Linked DNA regions of Mus musculus. The protein of the gene in region 2 purifies or fractionates together with the protein of the main gene of each other region. This does not show direct contact. Links are inferred from orthologs where the notes say so. Each region holds a gene or a part of one and is shown on either strand. Other genes may lie near its edges. The genes, in order: Ctbp1 and Prdm16.

Region 1 (4,092 bases), on a different chromosome or scaffold from region 2:
TATGGCTTTTTTTACATGGGTGCTGAGGATTCAAACATAAGCCCTTGTGCCTACAGAGCAAGTGTATTTACCCACTGGGCCATCTCCCCAGCCACCACCTGCTTTTTACTATGCCCTAGTCTTAGAATTCCAGATGGCAGACATTCATTATCCATATAAAGTTGACCCATTAAAAACAAACAGCTGAGCTCTGGGATTGATGCTGCCTGTTCACTGAAGCTCCACAGTTCTACTCAGAAGGCTTGCTTCTACTTTCAACTATTTCAGCATCCACAGAGGCAGAGCCTCTTTGCTTTGGTTGATTTGCAGGCTGGACATTGATGCCAGGCTCAGATCCTTTTGGGAATTACTGTCAAATCAGTTCAGTGGATCACAGCCTGCATCTAAAGACAATGCAGTGGAGGAAATGGGAAACCGAATCACACACAGCCTGGCACTTTGCATGCAAGCTAAAACTTCTGTTTAGTAGTAATTTTCTGTTGAATTTCCTTCAGTGGGTTTTTCCAAAATGCCAGTCCAAGAGCTGCTGGCCTAGGGGCTGTTGTTTGGAGAAAAGGGGTGGTCCCACCACAGCCCTCCCTCCCTGTATGTAAGGATGGCCTCCCCAACCCAGGGCCCTCTATCCCCTTAAGATGTAGTGGGGACTATAGCCCTACCTGCTGCTGCCCTCTTCTGGGTCTCCCCAGGACTGCCTGCTCCACAGAAGATGAGTGGAGCAGGTCATGAGAGCTAGGACCAGAAGGGACCCACCAGTGCTCCCATTTGATGAAGCCATTAAAACTGGTGCCAGGCGTGCCGGCTCTTTCTGGGATTTTTATTTCTTTAAAATAATTCATACAAATGGTTACAGTCACAAACATGATTTTAACCAAAATATTGCTAGCCTACCACATGAGCAGGACGGCACCACGCAGGCAAGGGTCTGCCAACCCCTGCCTCCCCCAGGACAGACCCCGGTGGTCCTGAGCACCCTGGGCACTGCAGACGCCTCGGAGCCACTCGTGATGCCGCCTTCACTTGGAACAAGGGGTTCATGCCAAAATTAGGAAAAACAGCCTTTGTTGTTTTTCTAAATTATTCTAAAAATAAGACAAGCAGGTAGAAAAACAATGCACTGTGTGGCATAAAAAGAAAAACAGGAAGGATTCATTGTCCTGAGAAGTGTGCCGACGGCCACATTCCGGGGCACGTTCCAACGTAGAAAAGGAAAAATAATCTCAAACTGACTTGCTGAATGCTCCCTCAGGTTTTCTTTTTGTTGACAGCTAAGCAAACAAATCCTTTGTAATGTTCTAAAAACTGTACACAGACAAGAACATTCGTGATAGAATTAGCTACTAACTTCTTTTGCTTAAACGAGGAACGCAAAGGACACAGGACAGTGAGCCAGCCCACAGGACGGGACAACTACAATCAACTTGGGGACGTGCTTCCTCTTGCCCCGCCTAGTGCACGCCCGGGCCAGTCTCTGGAGTGCTAGGGCCCACACTGGATGCCACCTCTGCACACTTGGGTCCAAGAGCGTGCAGCACCCTCCACCAGGTGCCAAGGCTGGACAGCTCCTCACAGGCTACAACTGGTCACTCGTATGGTCTCTATCCGCCTCAGGCTTGACAGTCTGGCCAGGAGAGGGAGCGTGGGGTGGGTGGGCCACAGGGGGCAGGCCATGAGACAGGGACATGGCACTGGGAACAATCCCTTCCACAGCAGCTGGGATGCCAGTGGGGGCCACACTCACGACGCCTGGAGGGTACCTGCTGAGAGAGGAGGGCAGACGTGTGAGCTCTACAGAGACCCACCTGCTGCACACAGCCCTTTCTGTATGGTTATCAATGACCCCTGAGGTCCAGAAAAGTTGGAGGCAGTAAGCACTTGGTCAGTGCTGGGCAGCATCACAGCCTGGCTTCTCACATGAGGTCTTCCCCAAGCCCCATTCCCTGACTCCTTACTACTCTCTGGCCCAACAACAGTTCTGCCCAGCAGTCCTGTCTAGGAGGCCAAACCTCTTACCCCAAGAAAAGTAGACTGTCCCATCCAGCTCAATCCTCTAACATCCACAGGGGCCTTACATAAGGGTGTAGCCCCAGTCATATGACCCACTACTGCATAACCTACTAGCCAAGGTCCAGGTTTAAGCCTCATTGTCTTGCAGACTGTCCCCTCCCTTGCCTGCTCACCTGTAGGCAGCCCCATTGAGCTCAGGGTGCACCACAGCAGGGTCCATGCTGGCCCAGTGCGTGGCGGCTGTCAGGTGGTCCTTGTTGACACAGTTTTTCAAGCTATCTGGGATCCGGCCTAGGATGTTGGAAGGTACACCAGAGAGAGACAGCAATGTGGATTAAAACTGCTGCCTCTGTGGGGGCCAAGAGGCAGACCCAGAGCCACCTTCTTGCCACAGCCCTGGCTTACTCCCCAGGAACATCATAGGACCATCCACCTGAAAAGTCAGCTTCCAACCTGGAGACCTTAGCCCCATACATGTGCTCTCAGCTCACAAGCAGCTGATGGCATCCAGCACAGCAGGTCTTCATGTACGAAAATGATGTGTTACTCAACTTCACCCCAAGGGACTCCCCCACCATAAAAGAACAACCAAGTGTCACCTCCCCTTAACAGGCATAAAACAAACTTGCCAGCCTGATAGCATGGCTACCCACCTGTGATGGCTCGCCGGATTTCCCGGGCTGCCTCCTCTCTCATCTCAATGGACGCCTGCTCACTGTACCATGCAGCATGGGGTGTGCAGATGAGGTTGGGTGCATCCTTTAAGGGTCCCTGGCTAAAGCTGAGGATAGCACATACCCAGTCAGAGTGATCTGAGCACCCAAGTCTGGGAGGTGCAGAAGGCAACCAGCCCTGGGATGGGAGGGCCCCTGGCCTTTCCCAAGGCATCTGAAAAAGTGGAACTGCAGAACTAGCAAACCTACCCCAAGGTCTTAACAGTAAGGGGTAGAGGGGATTCTGAGCCTTAGAGGAAGAGCCCTGCTGTGGTGCTGGCACAGCCCTGCCCAGCAGAACAAACCCTAGGAATGAGGGCTCTCAGACAGACTCCACTGTGTTCTTCAGTGGCTAATCACTCAACTGGTCTGCTATCCCTTGATGGGCTTTGTCAGCTGCTGGAGCCCCAAGAAGGAAGTCAGCCCAGACTGGACTAGAGGCTGCATGCGAAGCCAAGCTAGTGTATGCCTTGGCCCCGCTGAGTCTGGGGACCATGGGACCATCATGGACATCAAGAGACAAACTGAAAATAAGCCAAGTCTAAGCCCAGCCCATTACTATGGCCAAGGCTAGACAGATTCTTGAGGATCTTGTCCCCTCCTGAGAGCAGACAGCAAACCCTCCCCTAACCCAGCCAGCAAGAGGGCAGTGCTCAAATACATGGTCTCCCACGTCATAGTCATCAGATTGGTGGGCATAGTCCATCTTAGGGCACAGGGGCACCTGAAGGGCTCTGACTCATGCACGTCCAGCGCTGCGCCACGGATCCGCCCTTCCTTCAGGGCCTGGGCCAGTGCCTTCTCATCCACCAGGCCACCACGGGCTGTGTTCACCAGAAAGGCTCCTTGTCTCATCTGAGAAGACAGGATGACCATGTGAGTGACTGACACTGGGGCTTTTCACTGTAATGGCACATCCACAACAAATCTCACTTCCCACCCACCAGGGGATGGCCTGATACAGACAAGTTCTGGGAGAGACCCTGGGCCAGGTGGGCAGTAGCATCAGCAAGTATACCCTGATGTATCAACAGAATGAGACAGGCCCAGGAATTTAACTACTGCTGCTGTCTAGGCCAGAGGCCCACTGTCTCCTGGGGGGAAGGGACAAGGGTAAACTCTGAGGGAAGAGTAGAGGGCTACACTGTGAAGAAGGGACAGCACTGCCCTGTGGGAGAGGGGAGGAGGGTGGTGGGGAAGCTGCAGCGTACCTGCTTGACAGTAAAGTCATTGATGAGGTGGTGGTTGTGCTCATTGAGGCCGCAATGCAGGGTAACGCAGTCACTGTGGAAGAGCAGGTCCTGCAGCGTGCTCACGCGCTGTAGCCCCAGGGCCCGCTCGATTCCATCAGATAGGTATGGATCATAGAAGAGGA
Region 2 (3,810 bases):
GGGAATGGTGTCTTCTGGGATATCCCCATCACGGATCCCAGCGTAGCCTGGACCACTGAGCATCAGCAAAGATGACGGTCTTTGTCCCAGAACGGCCTTAGCAAATATAAAAGATCTGTGCTTGGATGTTTAAGTTGCTCCCAGAGGGAACCGCTGACAGGCCCACGGCATGACACGCGTGCTCCGAGTTTGCTGACGCTCACACAATCACAATCTCTTGTAGTTTTAAATGACAACCCAGGCGGTCTCTGTTCCTTCTTATCTTGTTGGGATATGCCCCCCTCCTTCCAAACAATAAAATAAATAGAACACTTGTCTTAAAATGTAACTGAAACTCAAATTTAACAAAATCATATGATTGTCTGGTAAGTGGGCAGTGGTGACCGTGGAACTCCTGGAGGGAGGGACACAGGGGTATTTGGCACATTAACACCGCCCCGCTCCCTGGGTACCGATCACACAGCACACAACCTTATCACACGGTTTGGTCCTTCACTACATACTTATATTAACATCATTTCTTCAGAATAAGTTGTCCAATGCCAAAAATACTGTTAAGGAAGAAATAAAATAAGGAAAGAAATGAATTAGAAAAAAAAATTACAAGTTATATACAGATTAAGGTAAATTCCATCAGGAAAAGAAATTATTTGAAATTGGCCCCTATGGGATAATTTAAAGCCCATCCAAGCAGAGAAGTAGACACGTTCTGACCGTCCCAAATGAGTGAGGCATCCGGTCTTGGGGTCTGTACTGTCTCTGTTCTTTGCTGTGGCAGGTCCCCTGGATCTTCCTCCTGTCCCCGTCCTATTCTCACCAGGAACCCACACAAAGAGCAGAAGTGGCGACTGTGTGATTGATCTGGAGTCTTAGGCACAGGTAGTGCTTGGTGTCCTGGAGTGGAGTAGCAGGTGGGCAGGCGTCCCACACTCAGTGGCCATGGGGAGGGCATCAGCCTGCCAGGGTTGGGGAGGGTAGAAGGCTGGAGGCCTCCACATGGCCCAGAGCCCTGCCTTCAGAAGAGCAGCAGTCAAGGCCAGTGCTGCTGCTGAAGGGGAAGATCCTTAGGTGTCCAGCATGGAAGACCTGAGCCACTGGCTCCCGACTTCCCCATACAATTGGGGAGGGTCTTGGGTGGGACCCGTGGATTCCTCTGCAGAGCACACAGGGCAAGGCGACCTCTTTCTCCTGGCCTCCCTCTGCAAACCTGCAGCCAGGCACCACGTCCATGAATTCTTGTGTAGTCAGCATCTGACTTAGCAGAGTGGCTCCATGCCCCTTATCCTGTGTCGGGCACACTGGAATCACCTTGGCTTATACAAACAGGTCAGAGATAGAAAAAAAATTCTCCATTATTTACATTATAAAGGGCACACCCGAGCCGTACTCGATGTCCTGGCAGGTGTGGGTTTGCCAATAAGCTGAAATTCCAAAGCGATGCAAAATTACTTTTAAAAAAACATTTTGCAAGTCTTTTTTTTTTTTTTTTGATTTTTAAAAAATACCGTCTATTTTTTTTAAAACCCACATGCTTAAATAGACTCTATAGTCAATAAGATTACCAAAAGGCTTAATCATGTGATTCTCATTATAAAAATCATTGATGAGGTCTCTCTCCATAGCACTTGCCCACGTCTTTCCGATTTCCTCTTTCATACCATGCAGTTGCCTGGATGTGGCCAACTGGCTCCTGCTGGGATAGAGACCCCACCCTTGCCCACGAGTTTTCTGATCCATGGCTCCTGTGAGCAGCTCCTGGGTGGCCCGTGCACCGCACCCACTGCAGATCGTGTCCTTGAGGCCAGTTCTGAGAGGTGATGAAGGCCAGCGGCTACTCAAGGGACCTTCGGGTTCTGAGTTTCAATGGAGAAGCTGGACTTTGCAAAGTGGAGGTGTTGAGGGTGGGGGGCTGCTCCCTGGCCCCTTCTCCATCTCCTGCAGCTGGTACCCTGGCTTTGGACTCTGGCCCTGGGGCCTCCAGGACCTCAGAGGTGGTTGATGGGGTTAAAGGCTCCGGACTCTGACGAGGGTCCTGTGATGTTCAACCAAGCATCCAGTGAGCTCTGGGAGGGGGCGTGGAGAGGAGTGTCTTCAGAGAGGGACAGCATCATTGCATATGCCTGGGGGACACAGCACACACAGGACAGGTGAGGGGCATCCTAGATAGGTAGGCCTGAGCCTTGCCTCACCAGCTGTACCCAACCTGTCCAGCTCCGCCCCTGCCCTCTCCTCCCTCACCCCACCCAGTCTAGATAGAGAAAGAGAAGCAAAGGCATTAGAGAGGCTCAGACTCCTCTGGCTTGGGAGAGGGAGACAGGAGTACATGAGAGGAGAGGGGACCTTTCCTGCCCAGAGTGACACCAGGACACACAGTAGTCCCTCTAGAGGTCTCTGTGCCTGCGGGGATCTCTTGACCTCTTGGGATGCTCCCTTGCAATTGCATCTCCACCTCCCCCCGACCCTTGGTTTCTCTGCCTAGTGACTGGCAAAAGCTGATGAACAGATGTCTGCTACGGGACATCCTGGGGATTGGCAGGAGTTATTCCTGATTCTGTGCTAGTGAGACTGCCATTGTCTAGTGGGACTCTGAATGACCGTGGTGGGCTGCTGTTTGGAGCAGAGTGGGTAGTGTCTCTGAGCTGTTGCAATTCTAAGGTAATCTGTTGTGTTTGCTAGTTTGGGACAATCATGGGGCATCCTCCTGCCTCAAACTCAGGACAGGAGGTGCCAGGGCTGAAGGCTGTGTGCAGCATAGTATGTGAGTTACAGGTGGGCGCTGGGGATGCCCAGTATAGATCCCCCATACCTCTGAGCAAACACTAGACAGAAGTAGTTAGAGACGAAGACAGACACGCAGACGAATTGGGGTGAAAGTATTTAGGTGGTGCTGGGAAGGCTGGAATGAGAGCCAAGCCCCTTTTGATGTCCCAACAATGGGGTCTAGAGTCCTGTAGCCACTGTCCCTGAGATGTGAACACAGGAGTGCCCAGGACAAGCCTGCACATACCCTCAAGGACCCTGTGTTAGCTCCAGCTTAGAAACCGGGACCACCTGATGGAGACTTTTCCTAAAACAGCAAGGTAGTCACCCATCCTGGTTCAGACCAGAGATGGGGAGACCCAGAAGCTGGAGGAGGGAACAGAACCCGATAGAGATGCTCCGGACTGGGGCTGGGATAGGAAGACCAGGAAAACGGCCCTCACTCATGATATGAGAGCTATCTCACGCTAATCCGTCTTCCAAGCCCCATCTGCTCTCCACCAGGCTGCTGGAGGCTCACAGCTACGGGCTGTCTCTTCAGACAATGAAGTGGGCATGGGGGCTGTGGATCGGAATGTCCGTCCTCCAGCCATGGGAGAGCTACAGCCAGAGTTCTCAGGTATCCTATGGTGAGGAGGCATGGCGGCTGCCTGCTGTCTAAGCCAAGTGGGAATGGGAGGAGGGACGAGGGCTCTGCTGGGTACCTACCTGGTTCTTAGCCTGCCTGTACAGGGTTTGTTTTAAAACCTCAGAATCTAAGGTGGAATTAAGCACATCTTTAACTTCAAATGCTTCCTCAGCTGCTCTGCGGAGATCCAGCCCCTTCCCAAAGGTCGGCGTCGGCTCCAAAGCTAACAGGCCGCCTCCTCGCTCCTCAACACACCTGCGCCAAGGACCAGGGAGAGGGGCCTGGGGTCAGCTCTTTGGCCACTGGTGGCATCTCTCTGGTGCTTCATGGCTGGTCCCCGTGCCTGCATGCATGCCACGGGTCTCCACGAGCCACATGCACAAGGAGACAGACACACTGACACACAGACACCTAGATGGGAA

The links.
Region 1: the proteins of Prdm16 (region 2) and Ctbp1 purify together in Homo sapiens (affinity purification with mass spectrometry; 3 studies listed by BioGRID and IntAct, with this or other methods). This does not show direct contact. The link is inferred for Mus musculus from reciprocal best matches to the Homo sapiens genes PRDM16 and CTBP1.

Annotation. Positions count from the first base shown.
Region 1 is NC_000071.6:33,246,930-33,251,021, forward strand, and holds the end of Ctbp1 (C-terminal-binding protein 1), read right to left. Parts: coding exon 3,929-4,092; intron 3,573-3,928; coding exon 3,442-3,572; intron 2,786-3,441; coding exon 2,658-2,785; intron 2,296-2,657; coding exon 2,178-2,295; intron 1,758-2,177; coding exon 1,571-1,757; 3' UTR 794-1,570; downstream 1-793. UniProt on the Homo sapiens protein: Corepressor targeting diverse transcription regulators such as GLIS2 or BCL6. Has dehydrogenase activity. Involved in controlling the equilibrium between tubular and stacked structures in the Golgi complex.
Region 2 is NC_000070.6:154,318,803-154,322,612, forward strand, and holds part of Prdm16 (histone-lysine N-methyltransferase PRDM16), read right to left. Parts: intron 3,644-3,810; coding exon 3,469-3,643; intron 2,121-3,468; coding exon 1,986-2,120; 3' UTR 1-1,985. UniProt on the Homo sapiens protein: Binds DNA and functions as a transcriptional regulator. Displays histone methyltransferase activity and monomethylates 'Lys-9' of histone H3 (H3K9me1) in vitro.